Drosophila melanogaster: one gene and its partners. The protein of the gene in region 4 interacts with the protein of the main gene of each other region in a pairwise test. Each region holds a gene or a part of one and is shown on either strand. Other genes may lie near its edges.

Region 1 (4,973 bases), on a different chromosome or scaffold from region 4:
GCAATGAAAGATTTGTGGGATATTTCCGACTTTAGATTTAGGTTGTTGAACTAATGGTGCATAACCAAAATTTCTGAACTTTTCAGTTTACACAAAACTTGAACCAATTCAAGCATTTTCTCGCCTAACTTTACAGCTGCTGGAAAACTTTTATTTTGCGGCCATTTCGGTTTTCCAAAACCGAAAGTGCCGCCCAAAACGACCCACTCACAATGTAAAACACCACATTCAAAAGGGCAAATTCCAAAAGCACTAGAGAGATTAACGGCCCACGGAAAACTTGGCACTTCGGACTTGGCCAGATGTCCAATGGGCCGATACTGGGCGACGTGGGTGTGCGGATTGGAAAGGGCTTTGGTCTGTGGCCCAGAGATTTAAATCGGATATCCATCCATAGGCATACAATGTCTCAATCGCCACGCACATTGACACATTTTTCAATGGCACTAAAACTGTATAATGGGGCCGTACAACGCATTTAATGTCGGCCCACACACACAGGCCAATTCCGATCGGTTTGAGCCAAGTGCACACAAATTTGGTGGGACTTGTGGCCGGACTGTGAAACTTGGCCAGGTGAGGTCCGGTGGTGGGAGTCTGCTTTCCAATGGAACGACCAATCCGATGTCCATCCACAACTTTGGCCACAACTTTAAACTTTCACGTCTCATTTTGGTGTATGCTGGTTTCAAAAATCGGATCTTGCCCCATGCCTGCCGTTGGCTAGATGTGCCGCCCCAGAAATTTTGGGTTCCGATGGGGAAGACTGTTGCAATGAAGTGATCCTCATACATATATGTATATCAAAATATTGTTGAAGACACAGGCAACACACAATAAGTTCACCGATCCACTGGCATTAAGTGTTGTAATAGTGGAAGGACCTAAATGTGAACAGAACACGAGTAAAATTTTAGAATAAAAGTAGCTTTGTAGACTTAAAAGATTGTTTTATTTTGATACACTTTATCGATAATTAATTATTTTTAGTACGCAATATCTTAATACTGCGTTGAATTTTTGTGAAATTCGCCAACCACACGGAAGCCAGCGAAAAATGTCTTTCGCGATGGAAAGTAAAAGTTGTCGCCGGCCTAGGGTCGCTTATATGGTGCGTCCATCGAAACGCTCGCGAATGCCAATTTTCCCACATACATTTCGCGTTTTGCAGCAGAGTTAACCAAGTTAACACCAACATTTGGCCAGTACGAGTTCGGGGGCTCATTTGCATGGTGTTTTGGACTTGGGGCCCAGATGCCAGCCCCCGCATATGTCCGGCGAAACAAAATGCCGCTTGGTTCTAATCTGCCAGCAATTTCCGTGCGCAATTAATGCCTCCACAGCGCAGTGTCTTAATTAATTCAAAATCAACGCCAACGCGCCAAATTGTGGCCCACCCAGCTACCAGGTGGCAACGCTGAATGTTGTTAGTCAATTAATGCATTAACTAGCCTCCATTTGGAAGAATATTAATGGCCCACCTTTGTATTTAGTTGCTATTAACTTATTTGGCCATTTATTAACTTTTATACTCGCACTTTTGGCTAAAATATGTGTAATATGTTAACCAGCTGCGCAACTCTGTTTGTGCGGAGTGGCAACGCTGATGGGTGATCTCGCATGCTGGCAGTAGGGTGCGAGAGAGCCAAGTCAGAGAGAAACTGACGTCACAAGATGGGTATTGGCGTATTTTTTATGGAAATGGTTATGCAAATATTGACTAAACGTCACCGAGTAGTTAAAAGCACTGATATATTAGAAATTAGTTAATTTAGATCAAAAATACCCCCAAATATATAACCAAATATTGGCTTTTAAATATTTATTAAAAGCAATCGCACTTTGTGACGTCACTGGGCGAGAGAGCAGAGAAACGAGAGCACATTGAAACCACCACCCCACGATCGAACTGGCATGATCTCACACTTACAACGTTTTGTGCTCTTCGCTTCGCATTCAGTTTCTTTTTCTCTTTCTTTGCGCACGGTTCAGTGGTAGGAAAATTAGGAGGAATCGTTCAGTAAAGTCCCGAGATCCGTTCGCTATTCCCCGACTCGAATAAAATCCATATACACATATATCAAATAAACAAAGGATAGGAGTCCTCAGAGAAGAAAAGTGTGTTTAAAAAAAATACTTTCCAAACAAAACGAAATGAATAAAATCCAAAGCCATCCAGTAGCAACAACAAATACATAATCAGCAACTGTGCATATTTCTGCGAGTTTTCTTGCATTTTTAAATCGGTTAAGTGGCCTTGTGCACTCGGTACATCTCCAGGCAAAGGAATTTATACCTTTGTATCTTCAAAACGTAGAAATTTGAATATAAAATTTATTTAAATACTTTTTTGTTGTACTTGCTGTTGCAGCAGCCAAATGAGCGAGGGTGAGAGAGAGAGGCAGCTATTTTGACATTCTGCTTTCATTCATCTCCGTCGCATATACAGTTTTACTGTTTATTGTCCGTGTGTGAGTGAGCGATCGCCGAGGAATTTTCTGCCTTCGCTTTCGACTTGCTGCGCTCTCTCGCTCTCTCAGTATCTCTCGCCCTGCATTGTTGTTGCTGCCGATCGGAAAAAATACTTTTGGGCGGAGTTGTTTTCATTTCGTTTTCCGTTTTTAATATCGCTCGCGTACGAAACTTAATGAATTTCCCAACTCCCACAGTAACGTGTTAAAAGTAGCAAAAACAAATAAAAAAGAAGTGTGCACCAAGTAAAGAAAGCAGAGACCCAAGGAAAGTTGAAAGTTGAAAACCAGAATCTCGTCGAGAACAAAACAAAAAGTTCCCAAAAACCCACACATCACACACGCACGCAACAAAATGAGTGTCTGTGAGAGCAAAGCCGTTGTGCAACAGCAACTGCAGCAGCACTTGCAGCAACAGGCAGCCGCAGCAGTTGTTGCGGTCGCGCAACAGCAGCAGGCTCAAGCCCAAGCCCAGGCTCAGGCTCAGGCACAGCAGCAGCAACAGGCGCCGCAGGTGGTGGTCCCCATGACCCCGCAGCACTTGACCCCACAGCAGCAGCAGCAGAGCACACAGAGCATCGCCGACTATCTGGCCCAGTTGCTCAAGGACCGCAAGCAACTGGCCGCCTTCCCCAACGTCTTCACCCACGTCGAACGCCTGCTGGACGAAGGTAAGTCGCTAAAACTCAAACCGAGTGAGATCCCTCCAAGTCACAGCATCATCCTAATCCCGGATCCAAGACTCAGCGGAAGGATAACGATCACTAGCTAGCCTTTTCTGAATCAAACGATAAACCCAGTTACTGTTTGTTATTGTGATAATATCCTTTTATTCATCAAACACTTTACAGTACCATTAGGAAATTGTTATATATAATAAATGTGATGAAATGTGGTGAAAGAAGAAATTTGGATATTCTTGTTATAATGTTCAGATATTTAACTCTAGAATGTATTAGAACTTTGTGTTTGTATTCCAAAAATTCATGAAAAGAACATTAAACTATTGTAGTATACAAATCGATGCCATTACAGTTTGGTTTATATCTTTTTTAATTGTTCAAAAAATATTTGCAAAGCACTTTAATTCCGAGAATCTGGCGGGATTTATTGTAAACATGTATTACAGAGACTGTAGGTATTTAGAACACATTTGGGTAAATGGGAGAGTTTAAATGAGTATATATGTTATTTTAAAGTGGTGACTTCATTTTCAATCGTGTGTGCCAGGCGTGTTAATGATTAGGGTGCCTCTAACCAAGTGATCACTGTAGTTCAATCAGTTTTGGGGCATGGATCTCTGGGTGTCTGGTTTGTCTCCTCGGCGTCTCCTTTTCGGCATCTTCTCCATCGCGGGTTCTGAGTTCATTCCACCTTACAAACCGAAACGAGATGTTTGTTATTTTTAGTTACTTCCTTTTTGTGCGCCTCTTCGCGGAGCGCACACTACTTACACCTCTCTCCGGGCTCTCTCCTTTTGTATTCTTGGCTCCACACTTGACTGCCAGTGCAGCCTTTGTTGTTCTCATTATGAATTCTTTGTTGACTCGGCCATTCGTAAACCAAAAAGGAGGGAGGCTTGGATTTTGAGAGACGCAGAAGGAGATGCGAAACCCCAGGGGGGGAACCCCCAACAAAGATAGAAACATTAATGTGGTGTGGTATTATGTGATAAGAGATCATTTTATTCACAAGCATGTATGAATTTATACATATGCTAAAAGTTTTAAAATTTTCGAATCTGGAATATTATTGGATCCATTTAATGATCTGCTTTGCTCTGTGCACTGAACGTGTAGCAAACTTATCTGAAAGAGGAAAAATGTACCTCAACTGCCCACGCTTTGCCTCGAAAACCAAAAAAATCAAAAAAAAAGAAAATATGAATAAATATACGGCAACGAAGCAAAAACTCTTAAAGGCAAGCCAACAAAAGTCAACTTTCGGGGCGGGATAGGGGCGGTATAGGGGCAGGGGCGTGGCACTACCTGGTCGCATCTTGTATCTTGTATCTGGCATATCGGAGCTCTCGTTTCTGTATTTGCCCAACATCTGTTGCCCATATGCAGGCCGGCCAAGAGGGTGTGTGTCGCCTCGTAATGACAAAATTATGTTGCACAGATACACAGATTCAGATACTGGTGCGGTATTTGCGGATTGCAAGGTACCGCTAGATGGCCAGAGTACACTTATTATGTACAGCGTATGTTTGGATTACTTTAATATACGTTTTTTTTTACCATATTGCTTAATCAATTTGTTTATAATTGCTACTACAATTTAAATTACATTTAATTATTGCAATTAAACTTGAAATGTGATAGCAAATGGTCTGTATAATAAGATGCAAGATCTTGATTTCTCTCTTCATTTGGAAAATATCCAAGAAGTCGGTGGTCTTATCTAGACCAATCAGATTATTGATTACCAGGTACCAGGAGGTATCGCACTGTCGGAAAACTCGCCCAAAAGCTTATATTCTTGTTTTGGTTTCGTCTCGGC
Region 2 (4,741 bases), 5.9 Mb from region 4:
CTCATTTCTTCTTAAGAAAATAAAGAAAAGAAGCAAAAGCCCCTTAAACGCCATGCCCAAGTTCCACTCATCATTCCCAAGAACTCAGTGATCAGCACCTATGCCGTCGGTCGCCTCTGTTCGGAACCTGCTTTGGTCAGGATTGAGGTTAAAGATCTGATTGGAAGTGGATCCTTTGGCCGGGTTTACCAGGCTCATGTGAATGAGTCCGAGGAAATAGTGGCCGTTAAGCAAACCCTTTACAATCCGAAGTTGAGCCAGGGCGAAGCAGAAATTATGGGTCAGCTAAAGGACCACAACAACATTGTCCGGCTCATCATGCACTCGTCCGTGAGTTTGGGCTTTCCGTCAGTGGACTACGTTTTGCTGGTTATGGAGTACATGCCTATGACTTTGCTGGACTATATCAACTATCACCTAACGGTGCTACAGCCCGCAGAGCGCCTAATCAATGTCCGCATACTCTCGTATCAGATGTTCAGAGGATTGGGATATCTTCATCTATTGGGCATTTCCCACCGGGACGTCAAGCCCGAGAATCTGCTGATAGACAACCAGAAGATGGTGCTTAAGCTAAGTGATTTTGGAAGCGCCAAACTCCTGGTGCCCCAGGAGCCCAGTATAAGCTACATTTGCTCCAGGCTTTATCGTGCTCCGGAGCTTTTTGCCGGGTACGAACTTTATTCGTGTGCCGTGGACATCTGGAGTGCTGGTTGCGTCCTGGCGGAGCTGCTCAAGGGATATCCGCTCTTCTCCAGCCACAAACATGACCGAAAGCAGCTGCGACTCATCGTTAATATGCTGGGCACCGATGGCTTGGAACGAGCTCCTGAAATACTCTCAAAGTGTGGAAATTCACTTCACCCACGGACCACTCGTCCCAGTTGGAATTATCTCCTGAATACGGCTGTTCCGCAGGATCTGTGCGGTCTGTTGAACTCGTGTTTCATCTATGAAGCCGCCGCTAGAATCTCACCTATGATGGCATGTAGTCATGGTTCCTATGATGAATTGCGCATCATGGACGCCATGGCGTTGCCCATGCCCAATGGCAATCCGCTCCCCCCTCTGTTCGACTTCAACAGCCTGGAGATGGGTACAGATCCAAAACTTTGGGTCAACCTATTACCGATCCATTTGTCTTCAATGGAGGACAAGTATTCGGTCGTAGAAGCCTTTGAAGCAGTCTAGAAGATTTTCAAAATAAACTAACTATGGCAGGGATTTTTCAGGTTGTTCAAATATCTAATTGTCCTCTTGTTACTGATGTTAAGTGTCCTGCCCTGGAAAGGAAAAAAAATAAATAATAAAAATGTATTACAAAATAATATTAAATAACATTTCAGCGATAACATGAAATTATCATTTGGATGGAAATAAAACCTGTTAAAAAACTTTTCTTAAGATGCAAAATAGATACACTAAGAAATGTTTAATATTTTATTACAATAATTCTTATTTATTAAAATCTAAAATTAAATAGGCTTATGTTAACATTAACATTGGAACCACATAAACACTTGGAACCGAATCTTGAACCGGAACCATGCGTTTTTTATTGACACCCAAGAAGCAAGTTTTATAAATTGTGGTTATGTGAAAGAAAGAATGACATTGCTATTTTTATAAAATATAAAATAAAACCTAAACCTTAATTCGGTGAGAACTACGAATTTTTTATTTGGCATTTGAACATCTCACGTCCCTGAGAACTCGTTTTCTGTCATATCGAAGTAGCCCTTGGAAAAGCCAAAAGAAGTTTAGCAGGACCATCGGAAAAGTGAATCAGTCTTACAGGAGAACTCGCACCGGACGGTTGAAAAGTGTTCTGTGAAAAAATCCAAGGAAAATTTTGCTTGTTTCAGATTTTGTCAAGTCATGGAGCTGCCTTCAATGGTGGAGCGTTCGGGTGATCGCTTGGTGGTGCGCAGCTTGGTTAGTGGTGCTCCACTTTATCAGTCATCTATTGAGGGCGGAGCAGGTGCTGTGCTTCCTATGTCCCAAAGCGTGCAGCCGCTAATAGGTCAGGACTTTTTGGAGCAACAACTGGAGCAGTATAAGGCGAATAACTTTATGTTTCCACTATCGATGGCCGGGTTTGTTTCCGCAGACTCTGCACCACCGGGGGACTTGGCCAAGGAAAATATGGAGAACTCACTGCCAGATGGTAATCCGTGCAACAACAACAACGACGATGAGCTGCCGCAGTGCAAGATACGGCGTAACTACAGCTGCAACCAGTGCGCATTCTTCACGCAAAATCCGCGCAGTCATCTCTCGCATCTGCGGGACGTACATGGCGAGCGGATTGTGATCAACGAGTGCAAGTTGTGCCTCTATGCCTCACGCCACTTCCAGAAGCTGGTGCGGCACATGAAAATGGTGCACGGCTGTTCCGATGATGGCGGCGCAGTGCAGGGATCAGGTGCTCAGCCGCGTGGTAAGCGAAATCTCTCCAGGGAGGTGCGCAAGCGTCGTCTGGAGGAGAGCATTGAAGGCCAGGGTGCGACTGGGCAATGCCTAGACCTCAGCGTGCTGCGCATGATCCAAAATGGACCGCCACTGGAGCAGCTGAAAGTAGAACTGCAGCAGCAAGAGATGCAGCTACTGGCCAGTGTCCAGGCGTACAATCGACAGCAGGAGATGCTGCAGCTGCAGCAGATCGTCGAGAGCCACGACAACATATTCTCCATGGCCTACGAGTTCCAGACCAAGTTAATGCCGCCTAAGCAAGCAGAGTCCCTGAAATTGGAACAGCAAAACAGCAGCTCCGATTCCGAGGAGACTGCGAAGAGTCCTTCGCCGGATACCCGTGAATTGGTGTCGGGTAAGGAGCAGTTTCAATGCCAGAAGTGTTCATATAGCACGCCCATTCGAGCCAGATTCAAAAAGCATGTGAAGTACCATTCCATGCCACTGATCAAGTGCAGCTCATGTGATTTTCACACACCCTACAAGTGGAATCTAGACCGGCACACCAAGAACCATGGTGCCAATGGCCATTTCAAGTGCTCGTGCTGTGACTTTAGCACGGATATCAAACAATCGCTGACCATACACGAATCAAACCATCATGTGCCCATGCCGGTTCACCAAATGGGCAACCGAAGCCGAGATGAGGCTGAGGATCTGGTGGATCAGCAGTCAAGTGGTTCCAGGAAACCAGAAACGTTTAAAAATGGTGGTGCTACCGTTGCATCGACAGAATCTCTGCTTCCCCGGACTTCGGGGATCGTTTGTTCACACTGCCAGAAGCGGGTGGGCAATGCCATGCAGTTGATCAACCATCTACAAGTGTGCACTTTGGCCTTGCACAACACCACCCAACTGCAGGCTTCTATCAACGCGGAGGTGGATCTTCACGATGAGGACTTCCCCAATGCTCCCACTGATCTCAGTTATTGCGGCGTAGAAACAGCTCCTGGCTATGGGGAGGTAAAGTCCATATATATATAAGTACATGGTGTTGCAAACTTATCCCTTTAATTTCAGGTCACAGAAGTTTTGCCAGAGGAACCCGAAGATTTGGCGCCATTGAAGAAGGTTTTTAAGTGTCCTCATTGCAGTTTTTGGGCAGCCACTGCATCTCGCTTCCATGTCCACATCGTTGGTCATCTAAATAGGAAGCCCTTTGAATGCTCTCTGTGCGCCTATCGCTCCAACTGGCGCTGGGACATCACCAAGCACATCCGTTTGAAGGCCCTCCGCGATAGATCCCATAACCAGGCCCAGGTGCTGATGAACGATGAGACCGGTAGGCGCAACTACGCCAAGTACAATCAGTATCTGACTATGATGAAGGTAAGCGCCGAACAATTGGCCGATTCGAAGGGAATGCGCACGGGTGAAATGATTGTGATGCCGCCGGAGAAGCTAGACGACCATCATCCCATGGAAACGGAGGAGATCATCGAGATGGTGGATAGTGCTCATTCGACCTCGGCACTGGATTTACGAAAGCCCAGGGATGACCAGACGGAGGACTTGGCAGGCAACAGCGATGAGCTGCCGCAAGAGGGAGCCAAGACGGAGCCAAATTTAGAACCCTTGTCATTTAAATCATTGAATTCATCACAAGTCATGCCAAAGCCCAAAGGGTCGCCTATGAATTTGACCAAGACAGATGGTGGTCAATCAGACGAAACGACATCCGCTGATGAATCCAATGAAAGCGATTAAAACGGATCTTTCGAATCTTTGAATACTCAATTCTCAGCAACAATATTAAAAATTAAATAAAAATACGTAAATCGATTTAAATTTATCCGGTTTTTAAGATTTCTATGAGAGAACTATTATTGTGTATTCGTTTATAGTTTTGTAGGGATAATTGGGGCAAGTTCAGCCCAAAAAATAGGTACCAATAAATAAGTAGTTAATAGTTAATTTAGCGTGGCTAATGTATTAGTGACAGATCAGCTAAGCTTTAGTCTCGAATAATAACACTACGAATTTAGATCACGCGCTTTTCACAGCAAACATTCCTGTATGAAAAATAATACTATGCATATCAGGACGAACAGCGGCACCAGGAAGCAGACTTCATCTACGCTGAAAGTGCCCAGGATGAGCCACAAATCGAGGCAGAGATACCGCGCCTGCAGGAGCCACAACCACATGCACTAAGCCGTCTGGCACTGTACGCCCTCAAAGTGAGACGACTGTCCGTCCTCGTCTTCCTGCTGTCGTGGCTGCGGCTTATAGTCCGTCATTTGCACTTCCTCGGCGTTCTTTGGGATCA
Region 3 (7,477 bases), 8.8 Mb from region 4:
ACTTTTGCCCGCAACTGTGCATGCACTTGTGCACAAAGGACATGTCGGCTGTTTGGGTTCCGCACTTGTTGAGGGACTCACCTGCTGATGTTACGCAGATCATCGTCACCGTTGGAGCTCTCCTCAAACCAAATCTCAAGGAGTTTCTCAACGCCCTCGAAGAAGTGCGAACCGTTCTCCAACATGCTGCTGGCTGGCAATAACAAATGGATCTGATCTGATACCAAAACAACGCCTGGTGATGTAAAGTAAACGATGGGACTATCGATGCGAGTGCTTGTTGTACTACATCGATAATTCGGGAGTCTAACAGCATGTTTCCACTTACAGCATTTCTCATTGAACAGTCGGCGGTAAAAATGTAAGTCCCTTTCTATTCGAATTAAGATACTTAAATATCTTTAATATATATTTTTTCAAATTCTCATCATTAGTTTAACAGATTTTTCGGTTGCTTATCCCATACCCCAGGCAAATAGTTAAAAAAAAACAGTAGAATTTGGATTTTCATTTTACATTAACCAGTTTTATTGTGATTGTTAAAAATTGTATAGAGTATTTTATTTGAAAAAATAAATGAGTAATATTTTTTGTATCTTAGCCTATTATGAAGTCCTTATTTTATTTAGACAATTTATGTAGATTCGAAAACAGCATTAAGTTTTTTAGTTTCTTATAATTGTATATAATTTAAATATTTCCTTGAAAAGTTTGCATTGCGTGATTATTGCTTTTTGCATAGTTTTACTATTAAAATGTTTTGTGGAGATTATTATATTATCACATGATTTTCGTATAGGCAAGAGATTTAAAACATTATTATTTTTTAGCTTTAGAAGTTGTTCAATTGCAAAGACAGCTGAAAAATCATTGTTAAAACTGAACTTTTCATTTTAATAGAAGCGATTTGTGTTATTAAAAAATTAAAAATACTGTAAAATGGTTTTAATAAATATAAATATAATAAATTTTATTTTTAATTTAATTGCATTAAGTATTGATGTCCTCTCTTAAGGTCTATATTTAGTGTGATATTATTTAAAAGTTTTGACATACTGGTTCAATTTTCATACCTCTTTTACACTAATAAGTATTTTGGTATTAGTTTTTAAAGATACAAATGAATAAAATTTAGTTTTAAAGAATGAAAATTTTATTAATAATCTATACGTATTTTTAATCCTATACCATTTGTTTTTCTCTCTTACGCGACCTCATAAATAAACAAAATGTGGGTTAAAGGTTCTTCTTTTTTTTTCGAAAAGTGAGTAGGGGGAATATATTTGGCGTTTTATGTTAACTTTGCATTATTTTCACTGGAAACAAGGTTAAGCGGTGCGGATAGATCCGCACTTTCACAGGTATCATTAAACGCCGGCAAAGAATTTGACTTCTTACGCCTTGATAAAATATCTTTAAGTGCTGCTGCGGCTGGGGTCTCGGTATCATCAATTTCCTTTTTGAATTTCTAAAATAAAAACATATTAGAAAATTGAAGTTTAAGTGTATTTAAATCTTATGCAAATAGATCTAGTTGATCAATCTACTTATCAAGACTTTAAAGTAATAGTGCAGATACATACATTTAAAACAAGGCCCGAAATGGCTAGAGATTCCCTAGCCGTCAAGAAATCTTGCTTCGTTGTTTCTATTGAAGAACATGATGACATTTGTTTGTGTTCTGCAAAAGAAAGTGTATATTTATAATTTTCGCAAATAAATCATACAATTAATAATGAAAGGCTCGTAGATATTTATTCAAACTTGAGCAGTTTAACGACTTAACAGGCACGTCCAATGCCATCTACAACAATGACATCATAAAATATGATTGGACAAGCAAGAAAATATTTTGGGTGGGTACGCGGTTAATATTCCGATTGCTAAATCAATAGCTTAATGAACATATTAACAGAAAAATAAATTGTTTTGGCAAGTTACATTTAATTACCAACAATAAAATGGTCAGGGAACATAAAAAAAAAACATTAAGTAAACAAATTGTTTTCATTGTTAGATACTCAAAAAATAAATAAATCTATGGGTCACAGAGGGCTAGCTTTCGAATCGAAAAATGTAGATAAATTTCGAACTCTCACTCACTCTTTTTAGATCGCTCCAATTCTTTAGGACGCCTGCGTCTGGTGTGTATGGTATCGCGTCTCATTGAATGCGGCCTGTTGACCCCATGCAGCTTGAAGTACAATCCGCAGGCGTTGCACACCATCTCTCCTCGAACACTTCGCCGCCAAATTGTTGTGGTGAGGGTGCCACAATTCGAACATGACATATCTTTTTGAGCACCAGGTATGGCATTAAAAAGGTTTATGTTCTACGAAATCGGAATTGAACCAAGAAATAATATAATTAGTATGTGATTCAATGAGGATGACTGTGATAACGTACCCTTTTATCTTTCTTATCATCCGGAGTTGCTTCTGAAGTGGTATAAGTATCAGTCACATTCTCATTAACTACATCGATGCAATCAGTTTTGGTAGGAAAACTTTGTTTTCTTCTACATGGTTTTGATTTGCTGGATTGAGCCTCTGATAGATCCTAAGAACACAAAGAGTATTAGACTTTCCTATAGCTACTTGCTACTTGAAATAGAAGAAATAGTTTACCTTTAATAGTGCTATGGGTTCTTCAGGTACTTTTGTAAATGATACTGTCGACGGAACCGGAAACGCGAAAGGCTGGCTCATCATATTTCGAAATATTTGTGATGCCGGATTGTCCTCCTTGCTTTTAGCTATCAAATTGAAATGTTTTTCATAATAATATGCGGTCAGTGGTCGGATAATAATACGTACCGGCTGATCTGGCCAGTGCCTGCCAGAGTTGAGTAGTTGCCGCATCTGTGGCGTGATCCGAGCTTAAGCTATCCGGAGTCTTTCTATCATTTATGGAGGACGTGATGTCCATCTCTAGTTTGTGAGAGTCGGAACTATCGCCAGAGTCTAGCAAGGAGCCGGTACTCGCCTTGGGTGCTTTTGATTTGAAGTCGGACCCACCAACTTGGTTAATGGTAATACTGTAGTTTTGAAAATCCTCTTCACTTCTTAAGTGTGACTGAATATCAAGCATTGGAGTTTGGCAAAAATGGTGTATTGGGGCCGCGTTCCGTTGATTAGAGTAATCGTTCTTTTGTTTTTTGACGGATAGGTCAATTTCAACACCGTCCTGAATTTCATTTTGGTTTGATGGACGTTTTGATTTTATCACAGAACTTTTAATACTTGTATCTACAGCTGCAGAAAAACACGGAGATTGCGGATTCGAACATGGAGGGGAAATTACTATTTTTTTGCTTATATCCATTAAAACGGCAGCCGTTTCAAGCTGCTGCTGCAGATTTTCATATTTCTCGATATCCGAGTCCTTTTGCAGTTTTGAATCAAACTGGCTGTGTGAGGATCCAGACATTGCTTTGCTCTTTTGATCGCTTTTCATAGTAATTGATTTGAATAAACTTGGATATAAGCTATGTGCTGGCATTTCTTGATTGCTAATCTCGATTTTCCGATCCAAGCCGGGTTGGATGCTGGAATCCAATTTACTGTGGTCGTACTTAACTTTAGAGAACGTGCTTAACTCCGTCAGAGCCTTTGCCGCTATAGCCTCCGATGAAGCCTTTAAAATTGCATCGAGCTTGGTTTCCAAATCATTTGGGTCCTGCAAAAAACATAGTTCGTGAGTAGTAATTCAAATGGTCATTTAATTTAATGGCGTATGACTAACTAAGTTCCTTCCAATCAATACTTATACTTACTGGTCTCAGATTTTTGGATATATTTAAAAATTCTTTCAAAGCTATTTGTGAATTGTGCGCCATGGTTCGAAATTTTTCGAAGGAATCCAATTTTTGTCTGCAGTCGCCACAAACCACGTTGGGTAATCCATCGTTGGGCAGTGCCTGAAAGAAATATGAATGTATCTTATACTGCAGTATCCACTTTTAATATTCAGTTGGCTAGCAATGAGAATGATGCAATGACTAAGGAGCAAGGCGGTAACAAAATCGATCGATGGGATTGATGACTGGTTATACTTGGAACTAAAAGAAGAACATTGGATGCTTTGATATTGTATAAATCAAGCTAAAACTATTTGTATTTTAATCAATTTTATCATTATACATGTATTAAAACTTTAGTATACAATTTATATCTCTGTAAATCTCATGAAACAAATTATTTTAATTGAAAAAAATTAAAAACAACCCTATAAAATGATAAAAAAAAAAAAAAATAACATATGTTCATCTACGGAAATAAACACTAAAGCTCATGAAATGCATTAAGAGCACAAATTATCAAATCAATAAATAAATAAATACATAATAACAAATGAAAGTACTCGAAGTATGTAAAAAAAACACATTGGGGCCATATAAGGTGTATGTACGTCGGTATATCCGCACTTAAACAATCGAAACGAATGTTATCTCTTTGGTGGATTAATGTATGTAGGTCTCTAACATACATCCATGCGTGCATATACACACACGTATGTACATAGCAATATTTACATTCGTGCGCTGGACACTGATGTACGAGTGTGGCGTGGTGTGCGTGGGCCTGGGCCAATGCCTTGCAATGGTTCATCGAAAAAATACCAAACAATTGATACCGATTGTTAATAGGCCATGGGATAAAAGCGGCCCAATCATTTCCTATTATTTTGACGTGTGGTGTCGTAATCACATAGATAACACACACCAGCGCACGGCAAGCACTCGCAAAAGTGCGCGTGTGTGCGGGCATTATCGTGTACATATACGCGATATATCCAACTCACACACAGGTAAGAGCATGCTTGTGTATGTGCGTAATTAATGTAAATTCGTTTCTTTGCAAATGTGTTGGATGGAAATCTGCTTACCTTAATAGAGAGACAGTTGAATATCTGAAATGTAAGATGTGGTGATGATGAATCATCCCGACCGTGCTCTTTGCCGTAGTTATCGGTTCCGCTTATATTTGTTGTATTCACACTTGTCTCTTCGCGTCCGCTCTGCTGATTATGATTATGCTGATGTTCCTCCTCCTCGCGCATTGGCTCCGATTTTGTTTGGGATTGGGATAGCGATGCGGAGGGGGATGGCGTCTCCCCGCTATATTCTATATGTTCGTGATCCGACGATGACTGACTTTTGAATACTGTTGATCTCTCGGCGATGTCCGACTCCAATTGGCATTGGCGTTCGCGCTCACTCGACTTTGCGTCCGCAGCAGAAGGCACACTTGGCGTGTAATGGATTTTAGTTTGGTTTTGGTGATGGTGAAGGGTTTGCGATTGGATCTGCTGGCTTGGAACGGGCACAGGCACGGAAACGGGTATGGGTATGGGCACGGGTACGGGTGTTCCCTGGTTGCGCCGTTCATTTTTGTTGGCTGATAGCGGGTTATCAACGATGCAACTGCACGGATTGGGGCTTAAAGCGCTGCAAAAGCAGTTGGCACGATTCGCGACGCCACGAAAATCGGCCGATATTCTGTCTGGGGCACTATTATTATGCGACGAATTATCGTAAATCTGTAGTACTGCAACATCGCACTCGTTAACCAATGTGAGGCACAATCGACAAACTTGACGAAACTTATGTGGTACATTATTCATAATTAGAAATTTATATTCGTTTTGCACTGTGTAAAGAAACTTTCATACGCCTCTCCTTTATCGCGATAAAAAAGATAACTGGTAAAATAAATTATAAAATGAATGTAAACACTATTCCTCAATTTTTCATTGTCACAATCCACGTTCAGCTCACTAAAAATAATTCACTCCAGTGGTTCGCCACAGATTTTTCGCTCATTTGATCTAGTTTCCCGTTCAAATTACCAAACGAGGGCTCCAGCGATAGTCGCGTTAGCTGCATGATTCATCTCGGCATCGCGATAAATCAGTGATTATGCTAATGTGCTTCTGTGATAAAACATCAAGGCTATTGCAACACAATACAAAATATTGTTCTTTTCATTTGTAAGACCAACGCATACAGCAGAGGAACCAGTGAAATATACTGAAATAGGGGCAACTTTTTGGTATTTCTGTTATCGATAACGTACAGCTATACTCATTTTTAGCTAGAAATTTTTGACTATTTATCTGACGGATTTTACTATTATTATTAAAATTATTTCAATTGCGGAATATAGTTCCTAAAATAGCTAGAATACTTATCCCTAGGAAATGCGCATGTCGTTTTTTAATCTTGGAAAAAAAACCCTCCAAAGGAATAAACTCTGGAATCTGAAGAAGAGATGCCTTACAATGCCTTAAATAATACGTTCGATTCGATTGCTACAATTTATCAAAATAAAATAGATTTAAATTCCTTATTTTCAACAACCGATGAAACAACGGGAAACGGGATTACTTCCACTAACAATTTTTACCGTTTCCGTGCTTTTTTTGAAACAAGTGCTCAAAGAACAATATAATAAGGTCATACTTAGAATCTTGCAATTTAAATTACTGTACGGCTTAAGATTCCATGCCAAATTGTATATTTTAAATTTATTTGTATTCAGCGCCGGATTGGTTACACCGCATATTTTTCAAGGATGTCGTGTCATTTATTAGGCGCAACATATATTTGCCGCACAGGGGTACGTGTTTCCTTAATATTAAATGACTGTTTTTACAAGTTGCAGAACACTAAGTATATTTAAATTTCACACGATACTTAACATTTTATCAAATTAATGTTAATATTTCTATCTGGGTCCTTCGGCTACGGCGACGGGCAGGACATTACCAAGACTGCTAGCAGAATGCTTTATCGCACTGTACGTGGACTCCTTTTTGTTCTCCTCACCGGCGGGTTTGCTGAAATACCATTCCTTCTTATTGGTCAGAAATAGCAGCATCAGGGCGGGCAGGTGTATCAGTGAAAATCGGAACAGCTTCCGCGAGCTCCCACTATCTGACTTTTCATGAAACTTGTACGCTGCAAGCAAACAGAACGTATTAGACATAACATATAGGATTCCATGGTTAATGAGTATATTTACCAAGGTAGGCGAAGTACGCGTTCAGAGGTAGTGTTTCCAAGGCAAACCAGTAGTTCGTGACGTCCAGTACGGGTGCCATGGCTGAAAGTCCGACAATAGCCACCGAATATCGCAGCGCAGTGCGGCGACAAAGACCCGGATTGGTAACGGCCATCATTCGGTAGCCGGCACGTGAATAATCCGGCCGGAGGTTCCACGACAGAGCGTTGAAGTGCGGGAACTGCCACGCGTACAGCACTCCGGCTAGGATCATGGCGCCGGCGTCCAGGGTGGCTGCACAACCAGCCCATCCCATCAGCGGAGGAATGGCGCCCACTATCGATCCCACCCAGGTATTGACTATGCTGATACGCTTCATCGGTGTGTATATCGTGGTGTAGAGGAACAGGTTACCCGCTCCCAGCGCCGCCGTCAATCCATTTACTCCGAAATACAGCATACTTAAGCCGGCA
Region 4 (4,850 bases):
TCCTGGTTAATCCAAAAAAAAAGGCGCGATTTACTTTGGGGGGGAATTTGGGTATTTAGCCGCTCCGCTGGTTCCGCACTTGTTCACCGCTGACATTCGAATCTACAAATGAGCTGGCTGCGCTTTAACCAAGTCTCAATGAGCTCCGAATCTCGAGACCCTCCAATAAAAAGTTTGGGGGGGAACTCCAACAACGTTAACAAAAATCCGGCTATGTGTGAAAATGTGCAGTGGCAGCAAGTTTTTTGTCTTTCTGACTGGCCCATTGCCGAGATTTATGTTTATGTAACTACCAAAAGACACAATAGCGAAAACAAGATCGCCGGACAAAAGTTAAAAATGTCGGTGAAGAAAATTTAAACAAACTGCTTGTTAATTGTCTATTAAAATGTGTTATCCAAACACTAGCACTGCTGCTTACTAAATCTCCGCCATCCCCCCCAAAACCCACTGCCGATCCGGTTCCATATCATCACATCATCAGCAATTAACCGTCCCAAGTCGAGCCCATTTGGCAAAATACTTCATGTGTCTAACCATTAACGGCTCCATTAGACAGACGTCTGCGACAAAAGCGTTGGAAAATTTGAAAGTCAAAGTCGATTTGGTAACCGCGGAAGTGAAGCTCCGCCTGGGATGCCATAGATTGGGATCGCGTTGGATTGAGTGCATCGGTTTCATCAGCCATTTCCATTTCCATTTCCATTCACGATCAGTTTCAGTTTCAGGGTCACGCTGCATTTTTATGCTCTTACCCTATATTTTTTTATAATCGGTACTAGTTGGGTTCAAGGGTATGCCGTGTTTTCGTGTTGTTCCGCACGCGTAACGAAAGCCCAATAAGAAAATGCTGAATGTTTAATAAAGGAAATATGTAATATAGTTTATACAGTTTATAGTTTAGCTTCTGTGTAATAGTATCCAATATATATTACAGGCAAGCTGTAAATGATGATGATACAAAAGTCTTAGTATAAGTATGAAGTAATACATTTTACAGCATAAGATGGAATCATGTTTTTTTCTAATATTTATACGTACTTTGTATCTGGCATTTTATGCAGACTTTCTCAGACCGGGCATACTTTTCGAGCGACCCACGCACTCCAGCTGTTCGCGTTCCTTGCTCCGCCGCAGCGCGGAACCCAACCCACAAACGACCTTCCCTGCTAGTGTCCACTTCGGTGGGTGGGCGGAGGTCATCCGTTGGGAGCGGGGGCGTGGGGTTCTCGAGCATGGCGTTGGGGTTCAAAGTGTTTGGCAAAGTATTTGGCGCGCTCTAAGCGGCTCATAAATAAATGCGAAAACAAAATCGTTTTTGCAGACGCAACGCATTTAAGGGGTTTTCGGGACGGGTGGCAAGTATCCACTATAGATATAGGGGTTCCGAAACTACACAGACAGCGAGAATCCTATGCAGATACAGCGAACTCATGGGCAACGGGTGACTCGGGCATGGAGTAGCAACTTCCCCCCTCTCCCATCACCCTGCCAGCTTTGGGTTTTCGAGTGCGCCGGCGCTGGAACGACATCGAACTCTAGGAATAGAAGCGTATGGCCACCCCAGCCCCATTTTAATGGCGACGCTGGGGCGATAAGATAATGGCCACTGCCTGCGCATGCCTGGAAGTTCTTGTTGCTTTTGGACTCTATCGTCGGCCGATTTCCAGCGATTTTCAATATAAAGGGGCGGTGCCTGTTTTCCAGTGGAGACCCCGCATTTTTGGTGACCGCGCGCCGCGTATTGACTTGGACCTTTGAGTTAAGTTTCTCATATTTGTTTCGCCTCAGTCGACGTCGCTGCTGACTTTTAAGTGCTGTTTACTGTTGTTTTGGGGCCAACGAAGGTGTCGCGCTCGACGTTGGTTGGCTTTTTGTTCTACCCACTGTGCTGTTTTCCTTTTTTCATTTTTTTTTTGCCCCTGCACTTTTGCAGCTCAAGCTTCTTGAGGCAGAGGGAAACAAAAAAAAGTTTCCACACCTTCTTTTTTCGACGAGGCTAAAGTTTTTGCGTTTTACAAATATTGTAATGCTCTTGGAATTTGGACTTTTCGGGCAAATGGGCATCGCCAGAGAGCGACACACACATGCGCACGGCCTCCAAAAAGAAGCACAAAAATGTTGTCGCTGCTGGCGTTGTCGCCTCGCCGCCTTGTTGCCATTGTTGTCCTGCCATTCAGGGCTGGCTGTATGCATTTTACCATATCATTTGTGTCACATTAGGATCAATTGGTAAACACACGCCCGCACACCCGCACACACCCACAGATAGTACGTATACGCACGGCGTACCCATGTGGGCGGCCAAAAGGCAAACGGCAAACGGCACACGAATACAAGACGAAAGGCAAAAAACAAAAAAAAAAAAAAAAAAAAACAACAGCGTTAAAAGCTCGCACAGTCGAGAAAAAGCGTGAAAAAGTGCGCAAAGTAAAAAGGAGAGACGACAGTTTGGACGGCCAAGAAAATAAATAAAGATGCAGCGCGGCAAATAGAGGGGATTCCCACCAGCAACAATACCAGCCGCCTGCCAGTGTTGCCGCGTCCAGGGTTGCCGCCGTACCGTTACCGACACCGTTACCGTTTCCAGACCGTTACCTTACCGTTGGGCAAACACCGTTAGCCATGCCGCCGCCATTTTGTCGCACTGGCTTCGCATTTGCCGTCGTCGTTTTCGCTGCCGAATCCGTTACCGTTACCGTTAAAGTTGCCGATGCCGTCGCCAAAATGGCGTTCGCATAAAATCGCGTTCAAGTGCCGCAGAAAATTCAAACGAAATAATACGAAATGTTGAAATAAGAAAATTAAAAACCAGCCAATAATTAACAAAGTTAACAAATACTAGAGTTGAGTGTTAAAGTGACGCAAAAAATTTTAATAGGGTAAATGCAAATCATTTCCACTGGTTTTACGATTCCGTCGCATAACGAAAGGCTCAATAAAAAGGCTAAAATTCTGAGGAACTATTGAAAAGAAAGCCAGCTTGATTAAAAAATGGAATGTTACATTTTAACAGTAGATCCTTAAAACAAAAAAGTCTATTGAGCAAATTGTGTTGAGAAGAGTTACAAAACCAAGATACGTTTAGGATTTTAAAATGTTTAGTATATGAATTTTAATACTAACACGATTGGATTTTGTTTGTTTTAAGATTTAAGGCAATCAAAATAAGATTAATGTGCGATTTCCAACTCCCGATGTTAGCCATTTTAATTTCAATTTAATCTTAGGAGCTTTGCTCCTAAAATTAAATTTCTATAAAATAAATTTCATAGTATTTTGTTTCATTTATATATGATCTTCAATCTTAACTAGTTTCCAAATACTGAAGAACTATTAAATGGAAATTTCCGATTAATTATTCTACGTTTTAATATTTCACAAAAAATAAATTGTTTACCTATTTTGTTTGTTTGAATTTCTATAAAATAAATTATCTTCAATCTTAACTAGTTTTCAAATACTGATAAACTATTAAATGGATATTTGCTATCAAATATTCTACGTTATAATATTTCACAAAAATTTTTTTTAACTATTTTGTTTGATTTGGGAACCATTAGCAGTTCGTTTTTGATAAAAAAACCTTGGACATTGACCGTTTTTTGATAGATAGTATAGTGCACATCCGATTTGTTGTCTTCGCACGAGAATTCTCCTCGTGATAGACGATGAATAGATATGCGCCAAACGGTCTTTTGAATATCTACCGATCAGTTTGGCCCTATCCTCGGCTTACATAAAGTTTACCCGCCTTGCACTTGGTCGAAAGCACCCGAACAATAGATGGTCTAGTGTGCCCCGGTATCGCAAACAAATTCAAATTGTTCAAGTCCCTGGCTACTTCAACTGATAGAGCAGCCGAGCACTGAGCACGAGCCCAACCGAGTGGCAAGACTGGAATCTAGATTCTACCGTAGAAACCGAAACCCAAAGAGACCGCCGCGATAAGGGAAAAACAGTCAACCGGGCCACTGTTGGGCACAAACCAATGCCAGTTATCGAGCAGACAGCGATCCCGCCTAGCGGAGTCTCGTTTAGACGCTAAACGGGAAACGAGTGCGGTAAACTAACACAAAGATTGCTTTTTAAACACCAAACAGGGCTAAAGATACAAACGTGTGCCAATTGGAATAAGCTAACTGAAATATACATATAACTCATACGACGCGTGTTCAAATCGCCGGCCCCTCAGCAATGATGCAAACCCTGAAACCACCGCCACCGCTACATCATCACCACCAGCATCAGCACCAGCTCCAGCATCCGCCTCAGCAGCAGCCACATCCGCATCAGCAGCTGCAACATCCGTTGCAGCAGCAACAGCACCTGTCAGCCATGGATAATCACCAGCAACATCAGCCGCATATCCATCAGCAGCAGCAGCAGCAGCAACAATTGCCACCCACGCCGCAGGCATCTCACCTGGTCGGTGGGCAGCAACAGCAGCAGCAACATCCGCACCACAATCACCTGGCTGTCGACCAGGATGACCCAAATCCCGAACTGGTGCTCGCCTTAATTTCCAGGAACCGGGCGCTCGAGGGTAAGTGGCCAAGTCATGCCATCTTTGATTCAGTCCTGTCCATCTGAAGGCTGCCTAGGAGATTTTCCTGCACAGTGAACAAAAATGTTTGCCAAGAATAGTATATTATTAAAATGTTTGGTTTTCAAACTTAGATTACATTTTTGAATTTTATTTATCAATTTATCAATTTTTGAAATGAAAGAGAGAATAGTCGTATTTACATTAAAAAATATCGTGGTTTCTTAATTTTGCTTTAGTAAATATTGAGAATACAGTTTTCATGTTAAAACCGTATATTTCACTTCTGCTGTAAGTTAACCCT

The links.
Region 1: the proteins of Lim3 (region 4) and how interact in a two-hybrid assay, tested with the Drosophila melanogaster proteins (one large-scale study listed by BioGRID).
Region 2: the proteins of Lim3 (region 4) and kmg interact in a two-hybrid assay, tested with the Drosophila melanogaster proteins (one large-scale study listed by BioGRID).
Region 3: the proteins of Lim3 (region 4) and GATAd interact in a two-hybrid assay, tested with the Drosophila melanogaster proteins (one large-scale study listed by BioGRID).

Annotation. Positions count from the first base shown.
Region 1 is NT_033777.3:22,040,238-22,045,210, forward strand, and holds the start of how (held out wings), read left to right. Parts: upstream 1-1,953; 5' UTR 1,954-2,118; intron 2,119-2,669; 5' UTR 2,670-2,826; coding exon 2,827-3,142; intron 3,143-4,973. UniProt on the Drosophila melanogaster protein: RNA-binding protein involved in muscle development and dosage compensation. Vital role in steroid regulation of muscle development and to control heart rate.
Region 2 is NT_033779.5:13,158,928-13,163,668, forward strand, and holds kmg (kumgang), read left to right. Parts: upstream 1-1,599; 5' UTR 1,600-1,659; intron 1,660-1,865; 5' UTR 1,866-1,878; coding exon 1,879-3,435; intron 3,436-3,492; coding exon 3,493-4,179; 3' UTR 4,180-4,226; downstream 4,227-4,741. Other genes in the region: Pk34A (protein kinase at 34A), read left to right, coding at 17-1,191; DnaJ-H (DnaJ homolog), read right to left, coding at 4,623-4,741.
Region 3 is NT_033779.5:10,332,223-10,339,699, reverse strand, and holds GATAd (GATAd), read right to left. Parts: upstream 5,787-7,477; 5' UTR 5,626-5,786; coding exon 4,888-5,625; intron 3,920-4,887; coding exon 3,776-3,919; intron 3,679-3,775; coding exon 2,817-3,678; intron 2,756-2,816; coding exon 2,628-2,755; intron 2,560-2,627; coding exon 2,407-2,559; intron 2,333-2,406; coding exon 2,104-2,332; intron 1,682-2,103; coding exon 1,584-1,681; intron 1,469-1,583; coding exon 1,292-1,468; 3' UTR 515-1,291; downstream 1-514. Other genes in the region: SamDC (S-adenosylmethionine decarboxylase), read right to left, coding at 82-185; Cox10 (cytochrome c oxidase assembly factor 10), read right to left, coding at 6,729-6,961, 7,026-7,477.
Region 4 is NT_033779.5:19,105,419-19,110,268, reverse strand, and holds the start of Lim3 (Lim3), read left to right. Parts: upstream 1-1,841; 5' UTR 1,842-2,882; intron 2,883-3,993; exon of another isoform or gene 3,994-4,103; 5' UTR 4,104-4,197; coding exon 4,198-4,546; intron 4,547-4,850.